3 linked regions of the Struthio camelus genome follow. The protein of the gene in region 3 binds, or shares a complex with, the protein of the main gene of each other region. Links are inferred from orthologs where the notes say so. Each region holds a gene or a part of one and is shown on either strand. Other genes may lie near its edges.

Region 1 (7,398 bases), on a different chromosome or scaffold from region 3:
GAAAGGCTTTCCTGCAGTGATTTCTGTGCAATAACATAAACAATGTATGATTAGTTATCACCTCCTTTGAAGAAACTTATACCTTTCCCAGCAGCAAAAAAAAAATGACATTTTTGTTTACAATTGATCTTATCTAGGCTTCCTGGGAGATTCTGATCCAACCTCCTAACTGCAGCTGGAATTTAAAACTAAACCTGGTCACCTTCATTCTATTGAATTAATATGGAAAATAGTGCCTTGAATTATTTCAGAAAAATGCAGAAATGCTACTAATCCAAACCTCCAGCTACATCCCTAAACAACTTCTTGTAGCTTTTCCTTAAAAGACTGCAATTCAGTGTATTTCAGCTTACTTTGAGTTAATTACATGCTACTACTTTAATTTTAGAACTTAAATTTACATTGTGATTTCCTTTCCTGACGCTGAATAGGAAGGATGAGGAGAATGTGTTTTACTAAACGTCATTTTATTTTTAATCTTAGAAGAGAAAATAACATATTTCAGCTGGCAACCAATCTGTCTTAAAGGCTTGAAATTTATCCCTTCTAAAAATCCTCAAAATCATATAAATAAGGACTGTAAGAGAAAACTGAGTGTTTGGTTAGCACAAATTTGATTCAGTCTATTATTGTCATGCATTTTACATCTTTAAGATAAAAGATGGAACTCCTACATAAAAACAGGTATCTGCTCTCAACTTTCATGTTTCATTTGTGATTTCTACTACTATTGTTTTATTCTGATAAAATAAATATTGCTCACATTGTTTCAAGAATTAGGTGTAACTTCAATACACTGCAATTGAAAGACAAGAACCATATTTTATGGAAGTTGCTTATCTCTGTAGGAGAAAAGACAAAACACAGCTAGGCATCACACTGAAAAGACCAGCCATTTTCAAAGCCATTTTGGCATGAATTTAGACTAAGGAAAACAAAACTGAGACAAACGTGTTATTCTTCTGTATCATCTGTCTAGTATTAATGATGTCCAGATACAAAACTGCAACATTCTAATTTCTGAATTTCTCAAAGTACATTTTGTTTATTTGGTTAAAACTGTCATTGGTAATGTTACTATGGTAACTTTTAAAATACAGAAAACAATGTTCAGACTTTAATTCACCTCATGCATCTAATGAGTAGCTTACACTGAGGTTGCTATTCTCTCTATTCATCCTGAACTTGTCCTAGTTAGTAGGCAAATTTTCACTGGCTTCAATAAAAGGAAAAACAGGCCTGATGGAGCAGATTTTCAGTGCTACTTAGGCATTGAAAGATGTAAATAGATAATTAAAGAGATTTGCTAAAGTATCTGCAAGCTCATGACAAAATTCCCATTAATTCACTGAGTATAAAATGAATTAAAATATACATTCCTGAGGTGTGTCTCAGGATGGTGTTAATAAAAAGATCTTCTGATATCATAATCTTGACCACTGCTCATGATTTATTCTACATGTAATGGAACAAGTTGGAAAATCTTTCTGATGTTGAAAACCATTCTGGTGCTGATTACAGATTACCCAGTCTATTCACTCTGTGTACGATACTCCAGAAAATGTTGTCAGAGCATTATCAGTCCTTGATCACAAAGTTACATCTGACTTAGAATTAAAAGATTCATTGGCCATGGTTCATAGGCAGAGCGCTGGAATTCAGTGGAAGTAAAGAACGTAATAAAATGAACATCAGACAGTCTGAAGAAGCTTTTGGATGGTGATCTAACTTTCCCTGTTTTGCACTTGAAATTGAACTTTGTATAGGAAAGGGAGTATTTCTGCTTCTTAGAAAAAAAAATCCAGATACACTAGTGGCAGTTTGCATAATCCTATGTAATGAATTACATACCATTCAGTAATGAATTTATTTCATAACTTAATTAGCATGGACCATTTAAGGGCACCAGTCTGTTACAGTCACAGATGTTTTTTTCTTGTTGCAATACAGATTATTAGCACGTTAGTTGCTTCTTCATTTAAACAACAGTTAATTTGCCAAGATATCCCCTATGCTCTCAGTTTAATATTCTTTTAACATCCACACACATTTCTGTGGCAATATATTATCTTTTACTTTTTCCCAAATTAAAGAAGACTTGCATGATAGCACGTGCTCTTTTTAATTTCTCAGATATTCTAAACCCTGAAAAGAACAGAAGAGAAACAAGAAGGATGGTATTGCCTTGCCTATCCCATCATTTCTGACGAGCCATCAAATTTGTCATTATTGACAGTTCATCATAACCAGTAATTACGTTAAAAGAGCTGGTACAGACAAATTGCTGGCAGCCAGAAAGAGTTTGGATGCTTCGTCCCAAAGACCTACTATGTGCAGTACTACAGTGTAATTCTGTTTAGGTATCAGCAGTTGTCTAGAGTCCTGTATATCCTAATGCTTTTTCTATGATTTTCACTTCTGATGCTTAAGTAAGTGGTAGCAAATGTTGCTACCAAACCGTAGCAAATACAGCAAGAATAGGTGCACCAACAAAAATGTTAGGAAAGATACAGCAGTGCAGTTGCAATCTATTTCTCGATGGTCAGCCTAAGAGTTTTAGAGACTTAGCGGGTGACCCTGCAAGCAACAAGCACTTCAAGATAAAAGTTAATGTTATGTTAGTTGGCAGGAGTTTCTAGGAAAGATCAATACCACATCTAGCAAAACATTGCTCCCTTACAGATCACAGAACTGGAAATTCAGAGAAGGCAGAACTGGAAACTGTAAAGACTTTAAGTCCCCAGGTCTGAGAACACTACAGGGCTAACACAATTTTGTCAAGGACACCGACGCAATGAGAGTGGAATCAGCTGGTACTGCAAAACTTACCCTACTGTAAAACATAATCTGAGAAAGTCTGAACCTCTGAAAATCACTTCTCCAGCTAGAGTACAATCAACTTCCACTACACTCACACAGCTTAGAAGTGACTCTGGTGCCTTTATTTTACAAATAGCACCAAATGAAATAAGGTGGGGAAAAAAAGAACATGCCAACTAAATCAGGAAATGGATCACAAGTGGTTAAGTGAGAAAAGCACTGGATGTGGGAGACATTGAAACAAAGCTGAAGATGTGAAAAGGGGGCAAAAAGAGGAAGAGAAAAGACTGGCTGCTGCAGTCTCTCAAGGGGGTGTTAGCAGGAGATGCTGGAAAGAAAATAAGATGAAATAGGTCAGACTGATTTTAGGGAGAGGTTTGAAAGCACAGTATTTTGTTGGTGGTGTTTCCTCCTCAAGAGTATGTCAATAACGTGAGTGGGTCACTTGTGTAAATCAGTGGCTATACATTTATTTTCTGCATATGATTTAGCTTGCAGCATGATTTTAAACAGATCGTGGAGACATGCAGAGATGCTGGAAAAGAGCTTTAAACTGCATTATTTTCAGTTAGATGTGCAATTGTTTCCACCCCTCGGAGGCTATTCTGACTCTCCCCAAGACACTGTACGAATCCGAGTGCTCCTTATGGTCACTGAAGGGCCCAACGGCAAGACGGAGCTCGCTGAGATCAGGTGCGTTTGTTTCTAAGGCTGCCTAACGGTGGCGACGAGATAGCCAAGCTGGATCACTGCACATTCGCAGAAATCAACATGCTACTTCTTATAAAAATAGTATTCAAAGCAGGTACCCGAGTTTGCACGGCGCTAGCCTTTTAGGCATCGCACAAGCAACTTCTTCAGCATTTCAGCCACTCGGGACGTGCAGAGGGGCTGCTCGCAGCGGGGAGTAAAACGCAGAGGGAAAGTAGAGCAGCTACTGGAAACGGGTCTGGGGAGGGAGAGCAGAGAGAACACCTTGTCGTTCCCCTAGAGGTCCTCTCACAATGGGGAAAAAAAAAAAAACTCTAAAACCCAACAACAACAAAACCACTTCGCTTTGCAAATTGCTTTAAAAATCGCACAGGAGGAGGACGGACGGCAGAAAAGCCCGGCGAGACCAGGGCGCACCGCCGGCCCCACACCGAGGTACCGGCTGCCTGGCGAGACGGGGCGATGCCCGCCACGGTTTAACGGACGCACCTCAGGGCCAACGCCCCTCCCCCCCACGCCCCCCGCCGCGAGCAGCCCCCCCCCCTCGCGGCGCCGGCCCGCCCGGCCGGGCTGGGGCTGCGCGAGGGGCGGGAGGCGGCGGAGCCTGGGCGGGGGGCGGGCGCGGCGCCTCGGCCGCCCCCCCGCCCCGGCTCCGCCGCCGGCAGGAACGGCCACGGGCGGCCGGGCGGCCCAGCGGGCTTGGCCGAGGGACGAGGCCCGGGAGGGGAGGTGCGGGGGGAGGGCGCGGGTGGGGTCTGGCCGTGACGGATGGGACAGATGCGATTGAATCTTTTAGAAAAGGGAGGGGGGGCCCGGCCCTGCCCTACTGGCTCGGCTTCAGCCGCCGCGTTTGGTGCGCTGCTGACAGCCGCCGCGTCCTGTGGCGAGAGCCGGTGCCTGCCGCCGCTGGCCCCGGGCGTGGGGCAGCGAGCCGGGCGTGGAGCGCGGTAACCGGCGGAGCGCGTTTCCCTCGCTGGGCGGGCAGCGCCCCGCAGGCGGCGGGCGAGGCGCCTCGGCGAGGCTGGGCTGGGTGAGAGGAGCTCGATGCCGAGGGGAGCAGAGCGGGGCGCCGCGCAGCAGCCGCGGCCGGCGGGGACTCGTCGCCCGAGCTGCTGTTGGCGCAGGTTTCCCCGCGGCTGCCGCTGCGGGCTGCCCTCAGCGCCGGGCTGCGGTGCGGTGCGGAGCGGCGAGGCGGGGGGCAGCCCCTCGGGAGGAGGAATGGCGCGGCCAGCAGCGGGGCGGGGGGGGGGGGTGGCCGGCGAGACGGCGGCCGCCGGCGCTGACGCCCTGTCGCTTCTCTCCGCGCAGGTCGGCGCTGAGCGCCCTGCGGAGGATCGGCTGTGCCGCAGCGCCATGCCCGCCGCCCGCCTCTGGCGGCTGCCCGCTCTCCTACTGCTGCTGCTCCTCGCCGGCCGCGCCGCTACCGCCGAGGGCGACGGCTCCCTGCGCCCGCCGCGCCCGGGCAGGCAGAGCCCGGCGGCGGCGGCGGCCGAGGCCGTGCCCCCGACGGCCGGGACCCCGGGGCTGCGCGGCGCCGAGCCCAACGCCTCCCGCCCGGCCTCGCTGCCCCAGGGCGGGGGGGCGGCCGGCGGCAGGCCGCGCTCGGCCTCACCCCCGATGTGCACGGGGCAGACGGAGATCAAGGAGACTTTCAAGTACATCAACACGGTGGTGTCCTGCCTCGTCTTCGTGCTGGGCATCATCGGCAACTCCACGCTGCTGCGGATCATCTACAAGAACAAGTGCATGAGGAACGGGCCCAACATCCTCATCGCCAGCCTGGCCCTGGGGGACCTGTTGCACATCATCATCGACATCCCCATCAACGTCTACAAGGTGAGGGGGCAGCCGGCCAAGGGCCCGCGCGCGGGGGTGGCGGTGCCTGCCACCTCTCCTCAGGGCTCCCTGCCGAAACGCCACCTGGCCCGGCGGGGAGACGCCGGGGGCTAAACCCTCGGCCAAAAACCTGCCACGGGATGGAACTGGGGCTGCATGTTGCCCCTCTAATTGCAGACCGCCCCCATCTTCTGACCCTGTCGCAGCCCTCCCAGATCTGGGCATGGGTTTGGGACGAGGGCAGAGGGGGCCATTCGTGATTAGAGGTAACGTGGCCCTGAAAGTCACCTGGAAACAGATTTTGTCCCAGGGACGAAGGAAATGAGGAGTGCGTTAGATTTGTAGGTTCCCTCCTTTCCCAAGGGATGGAGGAATGCCAGAGAAGCACTTCTGCCGCGAGCGTGGGTACTGCTCAGCTCCTTCTGCTGAAGGAACCAACCCGGTTAAAGCTGAGGGCTTGACAGAGCAGGCGGGAGAGAGCTTTGTGTTTGTTTAAACATCCAGTGGCTGTGAGATATGCTGTTACTGTGATCCTCTCCCCCTTTCACACTCCTACCAGAGTGTTACGGCATGAGCAGTGGAGAGGGAGTAGCCACACCTGCTACTCTTGCAGTTCATCTCTTACACCTTCCTTACTCTTTAAGGTGATAAAGCTTGCCGCAGAAGGAGTGCAATCTGTGCCCTATCTACCCAGCTTGAGCAGTCCCTTTGCTTTTATGAATTCGAGTTGAATGCAGCCTCTAGTTAAGATCAGGACTCCTGGGAGGGATGATGGGAAAACAAGGCTGCCTTCTGCCCCAAAGTTTGCAGTCTAGGTTCCTGTGCACCCATCAGCTATTGCATGAAGTGAACATGAGAGCCTTCATCTATCTATTCCTTCTCCTCACTTCGTGTGCATGGTTTTAAACTTTTGAGTTTTGTTACTTTAGCTTTGGAAAGCTGTGTTGAACTGACAGGTTTTGAATTTAGTCTTTTATATCAGTTGTGATTTCTCCCAGAAGTTGTTGAAAGGGGAGAATGCTGCATTTTTGTATTTCTGAAGTAATGAAGCAGTGAACTTACACGTCATCATAATTGTGTCAAACTGTTGGGCTGGATAACTTGGATTACCTGAAAGTTGCTTCAATTTGTAATTTCAGTAATTTCCATACAATACATTTATGGGAGTTCTCATATGAGGCTACCAGTCTTCTGAGTGAGAGTGGAATTTATGAAAAAAATATTCAGGGTTAACTGTTTTCAATAACTTTAACATTATAAGAAACTATTAATTGAAAAGAAAGATTTTTTCCATCCGTTCTCAAAAAAGGCAAAAATAGTGTATCAATAATACAATTGTTCATACAGTAACACAATTGCTCCCTGCAATCTCAGGGACACTGACATGTCAAAATTAAATACATCAGTGATAAAATGCAGTAATATATTGCAGTCCTTATCTTGGTTGAATATCATCAAGTATATCATCATGAGTAGGCTGGAGCTGGAGGAAAGGTCAGCTTGCCTACTGATAAGTATTAGACAAGCTGCAAGTCCAGGGTTCTTACTGCGCTATTGATAATACTAGGAGCTTATCATAAGCTCTCAGGTGACAAAACTCCTATGCTGCCACTCATCTTTACCAAGAGCCCACATTAGAATTACATTATCCATTAGAATAGTGAGTAAAATATTTGCCATTTTAAAACAAGATTTTTGAATTAATATAGTCAGAAAAAAAACAGACCATAGATTGTATTAATTTGATTTTTCATCAAAATTGAATAGTTTGAGTGTAATTTGAGTTGATGATAACTTTTTTTCAACTCTACATCTCCTATAGTTCCACCGCAGAGCTGCTTTGTAGGTCTGGGGAACAACATAGTAGTGTAATATAGTAGTTAAGCCTGACTATAATCATCTAGTAGTATGGGAAAAACAAAAGTTAGCAGAGTCTTAGTTTGTAAATCAAGTGTACTTAACATTTGTAACTTGCAATTTGAAACAATTTTAAAGTGAATGAAGTAGATCGTCAGAATTGCTGTCAGATAC
Region 2 (7,851 bases), on a different chromosome or scaffold from region 3:
TCCACCTGGATGTCCACTGTCAGAGACTGGATTAGAAGAACTTTTTGGTCTGACCTGCTGTGGCCATTTTATCAACTTATGGTTCACAAATTGGAAAAAAGGGAGTAAAAAACCAAAGGGGTCCTGCAAAAACTCTTCCATCACTGTAGCTGGATCACAGACAAACTCTATTCAGCTAGTATAACCTTCAATTGAGCAAGTAGGATTATTAATTTCAAATAATATTTTTTTCATATTTAAAATTTGAGTTTCCCACTTATGCATGAAAGTTAAACATGGATTATGGCTAATCAAGGACAAGATGGAGGCCTAAGATTTAAGGGCTATTGCTGTGAGTTAACAGCAATGGGAAAGTATGCCTTCTCTGATACAACGAGGACAAATTACGAGAACCAGCTGAAGATTGGCAAATGTTCTCAGCAGTCAATAGCTTTACTGTCTTGGCCTCAGAAGAGAGGAGAAAAAAAAAGCCTTCCTAGAACTAACTTTGAAAAAAATATACTGTTTGCTTAACATTCCAGTAAACATCACATTATTCTTTTGGACACTACCCCATTTTCCACAAAATATTAATTTACAGGTACTATTATTATTGTAGTTCATGCTCAATTCAATATCATATTATTCACCAGCAAACACAGGATATTTCAAAGTATTTTGAACACTACAATTGTAAAAATGAGATCAAAATACTCTTGACACAATGGAAGTTTGATCTGAGTGACAGAATCACAGAACAGTTGAGGTTAGAAGGGACCTTTAAAGATCATCTATTCCAACCCCCCCGCTCAAAGCAGGGTCAACTACAGCTCGCAGCACAGCCGTCTGGTGTATGAGCAACTCTTTCTAGTTTTGTATCATCAGCAAACTTGCTGAGGCTGCACTCTGCCCCATCATCCAGTGATGAATAAGTTGAACAGGGTTGGATCCAGTGTCAATCCCTGGGGTACACCGCTAGTAACTGGCCTCCAATTAGAGGCCTCCTCTGTGCCACTGACCACCACCCTCTGAGCTCTGCCATTCAGCTAAAGTGAAAAACAGGAGATTCCATTTAAACAGAAGGAAAAGCTTTTTTACTGTACGGGTGATTGAACACTGGAGTAGGCTGCCCAGAGAGGTTGTGGACTCTCCACCCTTGGAGATATTCAAAGCTGTCTGGACAGCGTCCTGGGTAACCTGCTCTCATTGATCCTGCTTGAGCAAGGGGGTTGGAATAGATGATCTTTAAAGGTCCCTTCCAACCTCATCCATTCTGTGATTCTGTGATTCTGCTCAATAATTGAAGAGAGTGAACAATATAGGTTACTATTTCTCTAGTCTCCACACCAAAGGTTCAGCAATCTCAGTTCATATTAGAACTTTTCTATCATGTTTCTGCAAAATTTATATTTTAATTTACTAAGAACATGGTTTGGCTAATCAGTCTGAAGACAATAACATAATATCTTGCTTTTCCTTAATATCAAGGAAGGGGAGCTACAATGCAGATCCAAATCCAACTCCCCGTCCACAGCTCTTGACTAATAATTCCATTTGGGGTGCAATAGCTCCTTCAGTTGTTCCTATATTAAATGCTTGGCACCATGGTCCATTCAATCCTTTAAACTTTCATCCTTTGTTCCCTTTTTATTCCATCATAGCTTTGTGTCTCAACTTCCCATAGTTCCAACACAAGAACATTTCAACAGTTCTAATCAAAATACCTTTCCAATTATTAGAAATTGGAACTAATTTCTAATATAAAAGTATTCTCCCTATAAGCCACTTTGAATTATAAATCCCTACTATAAGTTGTTAACTTTTTCTAGAAATATGAAAGAAATGAGTGAGAAAGTAAAAAAAGGGAGGAGGAAGGGAGGAACGAGCAAGATACTATTGCCAGAAAGAGTTTTTATTTGTGTTAGGCATATACAGAGATACATAGATACGCCATTACCAGGGACACAATTTAAATAAGACAGCTAATTGGGAAACAGAAACTTCACGGAATAGACAGCAAATAGTTCCATGATCACTGGGAATAATAGAGTATGAGCTGCAATGAATTTATATCTCATGCTAGATTTACTTTTTAACTGAATTACTCTAAAGTCTTTGCATGAGTGCAACTCTTTTCAAAGAACAGAGAATCTATACGAGATAGAAATACTGCCTATGATTTAGATTCTTGGCTTTTTTCAATGAGGTGCAAATTCTGACTAAATCTTGGTTAATAAAAGTTGAGAAACCTGGTTAACAAATATTTCTCAAACTAGTATGTTTGCAATGAAAAGTTTTGGATTTGATGAGTTGGCATTTTCAAAAACATAAAGGAAAACTATTCATGAGCTCTACCTATTGAATAGAATGTGAAACAGTCATCTAGTATTTCAACCAAAGTACGTAGTTTCATTTTTCCAAAATATCCAAGTGGCTCTTAACATAATATTTTGCACTCTTTCTTGAAGGAACAAAACTTGTATCAGAAATCAAGTGGAAGAAAGCAAGATAACGGGAGATTTATACACTTTGCCATAAACAGCTCTTTTGATTTTCTGAAAATGCTACAGATTATAAGCATATCAACTGATAGCTTATGAGATTGCCACTTATAAGGGAATCTCTTTCTTGATTTTGGTCTTTTGAACCTCAGCAATGGGATTTAGGACTCCTCAAGCTGATGAACATATGCTTATATTACATACTAAATCTGAGGAGGTAAGTAGCTTACAGGTAATACATTTACTAAATGATACTCATTTTAATTGAATAAAATTAACTCCTCCAAACATAACTAAAGATTCTCTTTTATTGCCTCTGAGGCAGTTGTATAAAAGTCACTGCAGTTTTAGTATCATTAGGCTTGTAACACTTGAAGTAAAGAATTTTTTTCTGATAGCTGAATTCTCCAGGAAAAATAACAGCTTTAAAAATGTTGAGAGTCTTCCTGAAGTGCCAAAACCCAAGTATGTTCCTATTAGCCTTAAAACTTAAGAATAACGTGTTGTTATCTGTAAGGCCAGTAACACGTTATCCTTACTCTGAATCTTTGAAGCTTAAACCAAAAGTGAAGTAGTTTATTGAAGAGACAAAATGGAAGAGGTTGGAGGAAATACTTCAACTAAACTGATTCTGAGAGTCCTCAACCAGTAACTCTCCAATAAAAGAATGCACGGAGAGGACAGCAGTCCTACAATTACCGTGAAAACTTCTCTAATACCTAAAAATATCCTGGTGTAAAGAACAGTATTTGGTCACTTTTCTTAGTAGCTGAGGCCAACTGCACTTACTTAATATCAGTTTTCAGAGAATTCATATACGATAAATTCCTTTCCCATGTTACTTTCCTGAACACAGTCAAAGAAATTAGCAGGAATGATTAAATATAACTTCTGAATTTAACTTAGTCTCAGATAAGAATTCAGCTCAGTTTTAGGTACCTGGCAAGATTAAAGGCAAAACAAAGGTTCAGTTACCAAATAAGGAACAATAACAACAACAAAGATCATGGAACCACTACGAGCAATACAGTAATTTCTAATAATTAATACAATTTATGTGGGTTGGTAATAATAGAGGAATTCACAATGGTAATAAATAGTTCTCCCTTTTCATATTTTAAAATAGACTTTAGCAGCATTACTAAATCCAATTATTCCATTTCATAGTAAATATAATTAAGCATGACAGTGTCTGAATAGATTATAGGAACCTTCTAAATTAATAGAATTATGAACTGGAAGGAAAAATGTGTGTTTGAATGAGATCAGAAATCTAAACTTAATCTTGCTGGGCAAGTCAAGTTGTTTAGATATAAAGGTCAAATGACCCGAGGAAATGCATAGGGTGTTAGGAATGTTTGGAGAATATATAAGAGATTTAAGAATTGCATTTGATGAAGCACTCCTAAAGTGTGCATGATCTATAGGTACATGCTTTCTAGGTCTTTAATAGTTTTGTCAATAAATTATTATACAGGTGATTCTTGACAAAGCCTACCAGTAATACTAAGCATCTGTGACAAAACTGTAAGGAATTTTTAAATAACTTTCACAAATATCACATGGCCAATTTAGTGGCTTATCACATTTATTCAATTTCAAGACAACTTGAGATTTTGAATTAAACATTTTTACCTGATTTGCAAACAGTAGGCTTCTTAAGATTGTCAGCCTGAACACTTCTGTTCCTTCAAAGATCTTATGTTCTGACTCATCATATAACTGAGATGGTTTTCTAGAAGAAATAAAGTGTTACTGTTCCAGTTGATCCAGATGCTGCTTTTTTCTGTACCAGGTTTGTCAGATGATTTAAGAGAGCATCTATAGAAGCTTTTTATTATCTAATACTCATATAAAGATCAAAACAATTTCTCACATGATTTGGTGCCAGATATTTTAACTCTGCAGACCTTTAGGCGTAACATTTTCTTTTGTTCCTTTCAATTGGTTCTTACTCTTCTAGGACTACATATTTTTACATCCCATTTAGGAAGATTGCCCTTTTATATTCAAAAGAAGCCCATATATGTTTAGAAAATTATTTCTGGGGTACAGCCAGATGGAAATTTAACCCGAAATGCACATCCTTGACAGAATACCTTGACAGAACAGTATTAGGAAACACAGAAATGCTAGTATATGCTATGCTTTTATTATCTTTTTAAATGCTTTTTTGGTCTGGAAACAGATAAGAGGTACTAGCAAAGTGGTCTTGGATGGATCACAAAAAATTCCATCCAGGAACAGTCACTCCTGAAAGATCCAGAAACTCTTACACTTCTAGTTTTACTGATTGTCTTGGAAAATACTATAATCCTACCCAAACCTGGGGAAAACACAAAACAAAAACTATATCACGAGATTTTTCTCCCTGCTCTGCTTTTCGTTCTTATACAGTCTGGGGCAACCATACTTACAATGTTTCTGTGAAATGCCTGTGCTACTTTAGCAGACAGCTACAGTAGTGGATTCCCACTACTGTTGCTTAAATGAGTCCAGTGAAGTACTTCAGCTCCATTTCAGGGAGGAAACAGTTAAAGAGCTCAGTGATCCCCTGTGCCCGGGAGGCAGCCTTTGTGTTTAACATTGGCAGGGGCTCAGTTTGGGCTGGAGGTTTGTTTTAATTGGGGGAGGGGGCAGAAAAGAGGGGACGCTCTCCTTCAGTCTGTCTCTTTCTTTCCCTGATTTAGCGGAGGTGGAGATTTTCAATCCCACCCAGTCAGACGCAGGCAGGAGGATTTGGTAAGACTACCCCGGGAAAAGCTACTCAGAGGAAATTATCAGCAGCAGCAGCAGCAGCAGGCGCAGCAGCAACATGAGGGTGAGCCCGCAGGAAGACGCACGCCTGGGGTGAGTGCGCGGTCTCCCGCTGCAGGAGCCGGGCGGGAGCCGCTGCCCGTTGCCCGGGAGGGTCCGGGCGAGAGTCGTGGGACACTTTCAGCGCTTCTTGATAACGCTCCCGGTAATGATTAGGTGATGATGGTGCAACTGTGCGTGTGAGAGAGGGGCGGGGGGTGGGGGGGGGGGAGAGAGACAACAAGAGACAGAGAGGCACAAGGCAGCTCGGGATACTATTAAATAAACTTGAACATATATAGATCTTGTCAGATGATCTATATAGGCTGGAGAAGAGATAATACTGATTTGCCAAGGGCATGTTGGAATTGATCTTTTGCTAGTGTTACAAGCAGAGAATGAGGAAGAAATACAAGGCAATTATCCCAACAGCAGAGTACGCTATCTGTGCTAGAGTGGGAGACAACGAAGAGAAATTCAGTTTGTCGGCCGTGCTTCAGAGCTTTCTTGCCCCCCTGAAGTTTGTTGGACTCTGTTTACATTTCAGCTGCCTTTTGGGCAGATTAATCAGTGTTAATGCTTTTAGTTTGTCTTTGATACTTTGAGTAATCTCATTTCCAACAGTATTGTTTCTTCTTGTGAGTGTCGGCACGGGAATTTTTCGTGCGTGATACCCCAGGCAGGAGATGTACCCAAGTTAGGAGTTCTGCTCCTGCCGTGCTGTGCGAGCGTACGGCCTGCACATGCACATGGCCTGCACAACACAACACCCTCACGTATTCTAGGTATTTAGGTTACATGTGAAGAAGAATAGCGGATTACATTGTAATGAAAATTTAGTATAGATACTAGCATGTTGTTATTATAGTCTATAACAATACAGATACATTGAAAAAATGCACAGAGGAATGAAAGGTTTTGTCAGGAATCCATAGGAAAACATTCCTAGAAATTACTAGCTTTGTTATTTAAAGGAAAATTTCTTCTGGGAGAGGGAAGAGATGGTAATTGGCAATTTTGTTCAGAGCTTCGCACGCTAGCTGCATGATTACCATGCTGCCACCATATTTATATGATCTGTACATATTAAATTCGCAGAAGAAAACGTCATTAAATAAGGAGCAGACGAATATAGCAATTAAAGCATAGGGCTGTGGTCGCTGTTCATAGCTGTGCCACAGATTTACTTGGGCAAGTATGAACTTGGGAAAGTCATTTAAAGCATTAGTGATTCAGTTTTTCCCATTTGTAAATTGGGAAACTATAGTCGTAACCAATAATAGAAGTATTAGTACTTGCCTGAAAGGATTTAAAGTAAAGCGTGCCTGTTGTTTCTGACGTGATTTAGAATCCTAAAGTGAATGCACTTACATCCTGCAAAGTATTACTAACTGCCCTCAGACACCAACATAACAGTCATTTAAAAAGATTAGCTATCTAGCTTCAAACCTCAAAATCAAGCATACAGTTGGTCAAATCCTCATCTCAGATACACCAATATGACACATTGTAAATTTGCATCATTGGTCTGTGAGGGACAGCACTCAACATACCAGAGAGGAATATTCAGATTAACATTGCATATGCCGCTGTATACAGATACACACACACTTTTACAAATCACATACAACAGAAGAGGATAATAGTAGTAGTAAATATTTATACTCTGGCTGTGTCCAGAAGTCCTATCAGTAAACTGTCTCCCACATTCTTTCTCTTGTAAATTTTTCACTATAAACCCTGAATTAATAGTCCCATAGGGAAAGAAATTATTATTTATTTATTTAAAAGTATCCTTCCAAATCCTTCATGTGAGTCCCTAGAAATCAGAAAGTTATAAATACTCAACTTCCTACTCTTCTTTTGGCAACAATGCAGCACTTTACCCTGCCTTGCATAGACAAGTCATGTTAAAAATTTGAATCCCGAATCAGTCTGAGGCTTAAGGAAAATGGACCTCCTTGGCTTGTATACTGTAGAAGTTCCTCTGGAGGTGGTATCTACCCCATGCTGCAGGGAGCTGGCTCTGGCCTTCACGCATACACAGTCACACTTACTGTAACAGAATGCTCTGATGCTCCCTTTCCCATCTGAAAATGTCATGAGATATTGCTAGAATACTAAACTAACTATTTTAAATAGTCATAAAATTAACAAATTTAGTAGCTCTAATTGTTAATGAAGAGTTGTTACCTTATTTTTTAGCAGAAAGCTAAAATAATAACTTGGTATTTGGGCCAAAGTATCATTCATTAGAGTCCTCAAGGCTTCCTTTTATTGAGGGACCATTGAAGGACACTTTTTCTTGCAAAATTACATTTTTTAACAGAACTTCATCCACCATATTTTTTCCTTTCATACACAAATCCTGCCTCAAACTAAAAGGACTCTGCAGGAACCCATTTCTATAAGCTTCAATTACTGTTAGGGATTTTTTGTGTTTCAATTTTGCTAGCCATTTAATAATGTGGATAATCTAGATTTCAGAATAGCACAGTGATTACAAATATGTGTTTGTACATATTTGTTGTAAAAACTGTACATTCAAGTACCCTTCTTCCTAAATGAGAAACAG
Region 3 (6,975 bases):
TGCCATTGATAACCAAAAATAGTGCAAAAAAAAAAAAAAGGAAAAACCTGTTATAGACACCCTCACCAGTGCTGTGGCTTTCTATAGTGACTAGCTTTACCCAGCAGTGACTTTCTCAGTCTCAACAGAGCTAGAAAGATCTTCCTCCTTCTCAGAAGCCCCATGGCATGGGCTGTTGGAGAAATAACACCTGACGCTGAGCTAGGCAGTGACACACGTGCTGAGACTGTAGCCAGTATTTTAAATCATATCTAGTCATGTCACTTGGTGCTAGGACACGTATAGGCAGGAAGTTTTCTTTTTTTCATCTGATGATGGGCTTTGTGCACCAAGAATCATATGGCTGCCACCTTCGTCCCTAGTTTAAACAGGGTTTAGCATGCAGTGTGAATTTTGCAGGGAAAATGATGATTGGTGGGATCGGCGAGGGGAAGCATCCTGATGCATGCTACAAATAGTTGGAGCTGAGGTTGCTGGATTAGTAGCTAACCCTGTCTCTCCTCCCCTCTGCACTTCAAGAGGTCCAAAAGTGTAATGTGAGATGGGCTTTTATATCCTTTGAGAAAACTCACTAATTAGAGGTGGGAGGAAACGAGGAAAGTTGGTTTACCAGAAATCATGCTTCTGCCCAAGGACCCTGATAGCAGAAGTATCTGTAATGAGAAATAAATATATTGTAGCCTGGGTAGTGACAGATAAGAATAAGGTCACTTTCAAGACTAAATTAGTTAGCTCTTGAATTTGCACGCTATAGAAGAAGGGTAGAAAAGTGCTTTCCCCCTTGCATAAGAAGGTGGGGGGGAGGACTGGACAGCCCTAGGAGGGAAGGAAGGTGCAAGAGAGGCAGTGAGTGAAGTAAGGGGACAGGTTGTGCAACTTTCACTTAATTGAGAATTGTGTTTCAAATCTGCAGAAAACAGCATGTTTCTCCCCATGTTCCCCAGACAGAAAAGCACAGTTTTACAATCTCCTTTTACTGTTTCGCTGATAAGCAGGCATTTCACATTTCTGACACTATACAAAATGTCCTTTAGAAAACTCTTTGTCAGTGCCACAGCATTTTCCAGCTGGAACATTAAAACCAGATCTTGGCTGGCCGGCTTAAGTTCTTACCCCACAACACAGCATCTCTCAGCTGTGGCTGGCGCAGGTACTCAAGCTAGAAAGGGAAAAAGCCTGCTGGAGAAACACTCACTTCTTCCCTTGCCCAAATGGCTAGCAGTGCAAATATATCTACTTCCAGACCTTTAGGGCAAGCTGGCTTGGCACGAACCAGAACAATTTGTTGAGTGCATGACTTTGTATTACTGTACATGACTTTGTATTTCCAGTCTGCAAACATTGACTGCTGGCCAAAGTTTAGTCCCATTCTACTTATAAGACCCCTACTGTGACCCATACTGTTACACATGTGTATTGTAAATAGCTATAAAGTTAGTGGATCTTCCTTCTTTGGCAAAACTCCCAAAAGGTATCTCTGCGTGACACAGACCTGCTCCATATTGCCCAGCCTCCAAGGCATGGACAGAGGGTTACCTTCTTTCTGGGAAAACCCATTTCCTAGCCTGGTAATCCCCACTTCCTGAAATAACCCATTTGGGTCACCGGCAGCTGAACATAAATCTGTCTTTGCCTTACTCTAACAAGCAACAGGACAACTTGATTCCAGTTAGTCTCAAGACGTGAAAATAGAGATCTCAGAAACTGCTGAATCAGAGGATATGGATCTCTGACAACAATAATATTTAAAAATCCTTACCAAAAATTGCGGCAGATGTTTTTGTTTTTTCAAGAAAAAAATGAATAGCAACTTCAGAGGCCTCCACAATATCATATTTGTGCTTTTTTACTTAGAGGAAACATGTTTCTTAGTCTGCATGCCATTTTTGCCAGCTAACAAAAAATACTTTCTAACAAGGAATTTGCACAAAGCTGAAAATATCTCACACTGATATGAGTCATTTAGGCTTTATGTGCATGTCTTGGAAAAAGGAATCTGAGGGAAAAATGTCTCTCTTTAAATATGTGCTTGCATGAAACAGTTTCTTGCCAGGCCTAGAAAGGCTAATGCACACTGGCGTTATATACAGGAGTGATAACTATGTTTCACCCCACAAAGCTGCTTTGTACGCCACATAACCAAAATAATACCACTTAATTTCTTTCTCAACTTTTGGATGCTGGTAAAAATAAAGTTTATTATTTCAGTGGGTTACTATTACTTTTTATATGTAGCTAGGTGACCTCTGCTGGTGGATTCTTATCATAACTCTACTAACTCACATATAGATACATTGATATTCTGGTAAATCCTGCCCTACATACACATAAGATATAATCCCTGCTCTGAAAAACACACAACTCCCATGCTGGAAAGGTGTAAAAAAATTATATAAGCTAGCTTTCTCTCTTCACAGAAGCTTTAGAGATCTGTACTATAAACAGGTATGAACATCTCTGGATAGGGCCACTGGTGTTTATTCAACGTATTTGTGGTCTAAATGGTGCCTATTTCTCAGAAAGCCCCTAAACTTCACCCTGAGAGAGCAGGGAGGTTATACTGAGGAAAGGATTAGTCTTCACTTGCTTTCCTTTCTTGTACTCGTTGTCATACTATCTGTTAACAGGTGTCGTGGGAGAAAGGATACCAGCTAAATGGACCTCTAGTCTGACTCAGCACGGCCGTAGACGCTCTGTCCACTATGCTACAGCAGCACACTGTAACAGGATGCTTAAAAAAAATTGCCATTCACCTGAGCCATCGCAATACAACTTGCAGTTAACAACCTTGGTCTCTGTGATACCCAAGGTCATTTCTATTATTACAGCACAGTGCAAGGAAATACCACAAATACCGAGGGAGCCTTATCTCTTTATCATAGGTGAAGCTGGCACGCTCTGCAGCGCTGGGGCTCCACCTCCGATCGCAGGCATCGGAGTTCACTTCAGCGTGTAGTCCGAGGCTGGCTTTCTGAATTAGGAGGTCAGGAGATTTCAGGTGTGTATGCGTTTACCACCACATCGCTACGCTCATTTCTCGCGTTTCCAGCTTCCAGATTGACAGCAACTGCATCTCAACGCAAGGCAGCAAACATAAACGCACCAGAAAAAAAACTAGTCCTGACCTCGCCGGAGCTAGCGGTAGAGCCAAAGGCAAAGGCCAGGCACAGGTCGTCCCTTCCGCTAAGCACACGCGTAACGTGCCAGGTCCCCACAGGCAGCCTGGACCCCAAAATACCCTCTGTGGCAGGGCGCCCTGTGGAAAAGGGGAGTTAAAACGGGGCCTTGCTGGCGTTGCTGTATAACCCCATCGCATGGCCGCAACCAAACCCAAACCACCAGAGACAGGAGGGGCACCGGTGGCCTTGCAAGGGTGCGCAGGTGGGAAGCGGGGGGGGGGGACACGGCGCAGAGATGTAGCTGCTACCCCCCCCCCCCCGGCAGCCCTATTTCTTCGCACTGAGGCGGCCCTGGGGGCTCCTGGGCGGCTGCGGGGGGAAGAGGGCGGCAGGGGCTCCCTCTCCCCGGCGCGCGCCCGGGGCCCCAACGGCCGCCCCAACGGCCGCCCCAACGGCCGCCGGGGTGGGGGGGAGGGGAGGGGGGGGCGCGGCGACACCCCACGGCGGCCGCTCCCGCCGCGCCTGGCTCGCCCCGCTGTTGTACCAACCACAGCTACAACCATCGCAGTAATAATTGTCCTTAGGACTGTTGTTACTCAGCCCGCTGCCTGCGGCCCTGCGCGCCGCCGCCAAGAGGCAGGGGCGGCCGGGCGCCGCCGTCAGGTGCCGGGCGCGGCGGCAGCGGCGCTGGGGCTCGGGGGGGCTCGGGGGGGGGGGGGGTAGGGAAGGGCGCCCCCTGGCGGCGCAGCCCCGGCCGTCGCCGGCCCCCACGCCGCCGCCGCTGCCCCGTCCGCCCGCCGCCCTCCCCCCCGGGCGGGCGGGCCGCCCGCCGCCGCCGCCGCCTGCCGCTCTGAAGTTTGCAGGCGATTTCCTTTCCAGCCCGGCCTTATCTCAGCCCGCACGTTGCCGCGCGGTGACTAATAACAGAATAACATTGTCTCGGGATAAAATAGCGCCGGGGCTGTTTACCCGCTCGATGGGGGTTCGCTATAAAAGGGCGCGGGGACCGCCGCGCCAGCCAGACGCGCCGGGGCGCACCGAGCCGCCGCGTCCCTCCCCGCACGCCGCCGCGCACTGTTCGCGCTGCGAGGGGTTTTATTTTTTCCCTCCTTTTTCTTTTATTATCCTTTTTTGTTTTTTGCGTTTTTCCTTTTTTTTTTTTAATTTTAATTTTTATTTTATTTTTCCCCTTCTCCTTTTTCGCCGCCGGCTCCTCTCCCTGTTCCCCGCTATGGATTATTCGCACATGATCGTCTCGCTGCTGGTCGTGGTCTGCCCGGGACTGCTGCCGGCAGGTAGGTGCGGACTCCGCGCTCTCCCTCGTTGGGGAGGAGGGGGGTCGGCTCACACACCTGGGTGAGCCCCGATGCTCCGTGCCGCGGAAGGGGGGGGCGGGGGGGGGGTCCGGCCGCTGCGCGGATCTAACGCGCCTCCGCCGCCGCCCGCAGCCCCCGGAGCCGCCGCCGCGCCGCCCCCCGCCGCCACCGCGCACCGCCGCGCCCGCCGCTGCTCCTGCTCCTCGCTGCTCGACGAGGAGTGCGTCTACTTCTGCCACCTCGACATCATCTGGATCAACACCCCCGAGTGAGTGGGCGAGGGGGGCAACCCCTCCGGCACTTACGCAGCGGTGGGCTTTGGCCTGAAAAACGGGGAACGAGGGAGGGGGGAGCTTCTAAACCACAAACTCCCTCGCAGAGATTAGGAAGGGAGGAAGGAATATATATGTGTATATTTTTTTCTTTCTTTTTTTTTTGTGTACGTGGTCACTCCTACTGCTTTCCCTGCTCCTCTTTTCCTGTTGAGTTTAATGGACTGTCTGCTGGGAGAAAGCAGGCAGGATTTGGCCAGCGAGATTGAGCAGATAACTCTTAATAGCCCTAACACACCTGCGTTCCTGAAGCGTAGGCAAGAGGCTTTCCTTTGGGTGCTGCCCTGCAAAGGCTGTAGGATACTCTTTGCTATGAATCAGAGGTGAACAAAACGCTAAGAGCGTGATTTTTGCCAGCTTGACTTTGCATAACTATTCTCCCAACAAGTCAGGAGGCTGAAGGGCTTCCTTTGGCGTGAGGTGGCTCCTTGCTACCTCTTGCTACTGCTGACCACTGCAAATTAACACATCTCGTGTTTAAGCAGAGATGGGTACAGTGTCAATGCCTGTTTCTGCAATGTCCTCACCAAAAAGTGCAATTAGCCAGAACCTCAGCTGACACTGCATACGCTGCCTTCGGTGATCTGTTCTATTGCTGAATTTTCTGTGACTGGAGGTGATCTATTCCTCACTTTTATTACTTTTTTCAGTTATCAAAGTTCAAAGAGAGGAGGTTTTATTGCATTCTGTTGCATATGGAGGCATACCAGGCTCATGAAATCACAATTTAAAAGTCATTAGCCTTGTCAGTAGCCATGCTAATTAGTATGTTGCAGGAGCATCAGAAGCACTTGCTTGGAAATTATGACCCGCAAAGCATCCTTGATCCCATAAGCTTTACTCATGCAATCAACCCCATTGATAAGGCTGCCCACAATACCCTGCTGCTCTGAAGCCACAAGATTATTTGAATTGTACTCATGTTGACTCTTTGATCATAGGAAGACCGTTCCTTATGGCCTTGGAGGTCCTTCTCGATCCAGAAGATCACTGAAGGACATAATGCCTGAGATGCTCACTGAACCTAGCAGCAGATGTCAGTGTGCCAACCAGAAAGACAAGAAATGTCTGAGTTTCTGCCAGACAGGAAAAGAACACTGGTGCGTTCATTGTTATGGCTCTTTAAAAGACATGTGCATGTGAAAGGGCCAGATTGTGGTACTCTTACTCGTTTTGGCACTTGCTGTGTGAATAATCTTCCCAAAGCCTTACCGCCTACCTCGCTGCTCATACTGCTATAACACATACCACGGTTTGGCCCAGAAGGATTGCTTATTGCATGCCTTGCAAAGTGATAGATTAGATGCATCTCCTTGTGGACTACAGAATTTTGTTTTGTTTTTTAACGACCGTGTTTTTTCGCTTTTACAGGGCTCAGTCCACAATGGAGAAAAGCTTGCGTCACCGCAACAAAGGTGGCAATTGCCTTGGACCAAAATGTATGAACCAACAGTTTGTTGGCAGCAAGAAAATGAAGAGGTGAGTTTCCTCTCATCCTGCTGTCATTCCCCAGAGTAGCAATAGAGAGCGTGGTTCTCCCTTTGGGTCAACATGAACTTAGCTGGTGATTTCAGCTCAAGTATTTTGGAGGAATTGCTGAGGGTTGTTGTGTTGGTTTCTTTTTTGTTGTTGTTGTTGTGAAGTTGTTAAGACAAGGGCGAGCTCTGCCTAGTGTCATCCACTTAGTGTCATACATGTCATCCACTTGCTTAGAGGAAACAGACTTACTCTCAGGCCTAAAGGGATACCAAGCTTAAGAGTATGAAATCATTAAATCCTGACAGAAGGAAGCAGAGCCTGACATCTTAGTGTGTTCATGTGTTATCTCAATTACTTACTATGTCTCAATTATTCTTCTAAAACAAAATTGAGTCAGCATGCCTTTTCTTAGGTGCTTTAATGCATTTTTCTGGAAAGAAAAGTTACTGACCTATCTGGATCTTAAACATATGATTTCTTCTGGCTGGTGTAGCTGGCTTTTAGAATGCAGCAAAACAGATTTCTTGCCTAATCCCTTACATTGTCAGATAAACCTGTGTAAATGCATACAGGATGCTAGCAATGGAAACGACTGCAAAAAGGTTGAGGAAGGTGAAAATGAAGATTAAATTAATATTTGAGGCTAATCCAATACCTGAGACTAAGACTAAATTAAAATCACAACTGCCCTTTGAGATCTATGTGTAATATGTTGAGTGGCAGTAGGAA

The links.
Region 1: the proteins of EDN1 (region 3) and EDNRB are in contact, whole or in part, in a cryo-EM structure (PDB 8XWP), measured with the Homo sapiens proteins. The link is inferred for Struthio camelus from reciprocal best matches to the Homo sapiens genes EDN1 and EDNRB. Residues at the interface, in NP_001403492.1 of Homo sapiens: Cys53, Ser54, Cys55, Ser56, Ser57, Leu58, Glu62, Cys63, Val64, Tyr65, Phe66, Cys67, His68, Leu69, Asp70, Ile71, Ile72, Trp73; in NP_000106.1 of Homo sapiens: Pro88, Pro89, Ile94, Glu95, Ile157, Asn158, Lys161, Glu165, Asp166, Trp167, Val177, Pro178, Gln181, Lys182, Val185, Phe240, Ile243, Met245, Tyr247, Leu252, Ile254, Leu256, Leu257, His258, Pro259, Lys270, Lys273, Leu277, Trp336, Leu339.
Region 2: the proteins of EDN1 (region 3) and EDNRA are in contact, whole or in part, in a cryo-EM structure (PDB 8HCQ), measured with the Homo sapiens proteins. The link is inferred for Struthio camelus from reciprocal best matches to the Homo sapiens genes EDN1 and EDNRA. Residues at the interface, in NP_001403492.1 of Homo sapiens: Cys53, Ser54, Leu58, Asp60, Lys61, Glu62, Cys63, Val64, Tyr65, Phe66, Cys67, His68, Leu69, Asp70, Ile71, Ile72, Trp73; in NP_001948.1 of Homo sapiens: Tyr68, Gln72, Thr73, Lys74, Tyr129, Asp133, Ile136, Asn137, Lys140, Leu141, Gly144, Arg145, Trp146, Gln165, Lys166, Val169, Glu220, Phe224, Val227, Phe229, Tyr231, His236, Lys237, Thr238, Cys239, Met240, Leu241, Asn242, Gln252, Lys255.

The regions. Positions count from the first base shown.
Region 1 is NC_090942.1:176,373,888-176,381,285, forward strand, and holds the start of EDNRB (endothelin receptor type B), read left to right. Parts: upstream 1-4,366; 5' UTR 4,367-4,561; intron 4,562-4,839; 5' UTR 4,840-4,884; coding exon 4,885-5,367; intron 5,368-7,398. UniProt on the Homo sapiens protein: Non-specific receptor for endothelin 1, 2, and 3. Mediates its action by association with G proteins that activate a phosphatidylinositol-calcium second messenger system.
Region 2 is NC_090945.1:35,585,477-35,593,327, forward strand, and holds the start of EDNRA (endothelin-1 receptor), read left to right. Parts: upstream 1-4,819; 5' UTR 4,820-5,093; exon of another isoform or gene 5,094-5,144; 5' UTR 5,145-5,442; intron 5,443-7,851. UniProt on the Homo sapiens protein: Receptor for endothelin-1. Mediates its action by association with G proteins that activate a phosphatidylinositol-calcium second messenger system. The rank order of binding affinities for ET-A is: ET1 > ET2 >> ET3.
Region 3 is NC_090943.1:100,617,279-100,624,253, reverse strand, and holds the start of EDN1 (endothelin-1), read left to right. Parts: upstream 1-3,924; 5' UTR 3,925-4,095; coding exon 4,096-4,414; intron 4,415-4,567; coding exon 4,568-4,703; intron 4,704-5,708; coding exon 5,709-5,867; intron 5,868-6,138; coding exon 6,139-6,246; intron 6,247-6,975. UniProt on the Homo sapiens protein: Endothelins are endothelium-derived vasoconstrictor peptides. Probable ligand for G-protein coupled receptors EDNRA and EDNRB which activates PTK2B, BCAR1, BCAR3 and, GTPases RAP1 and RHOA cascade in glomerular mesangial cells.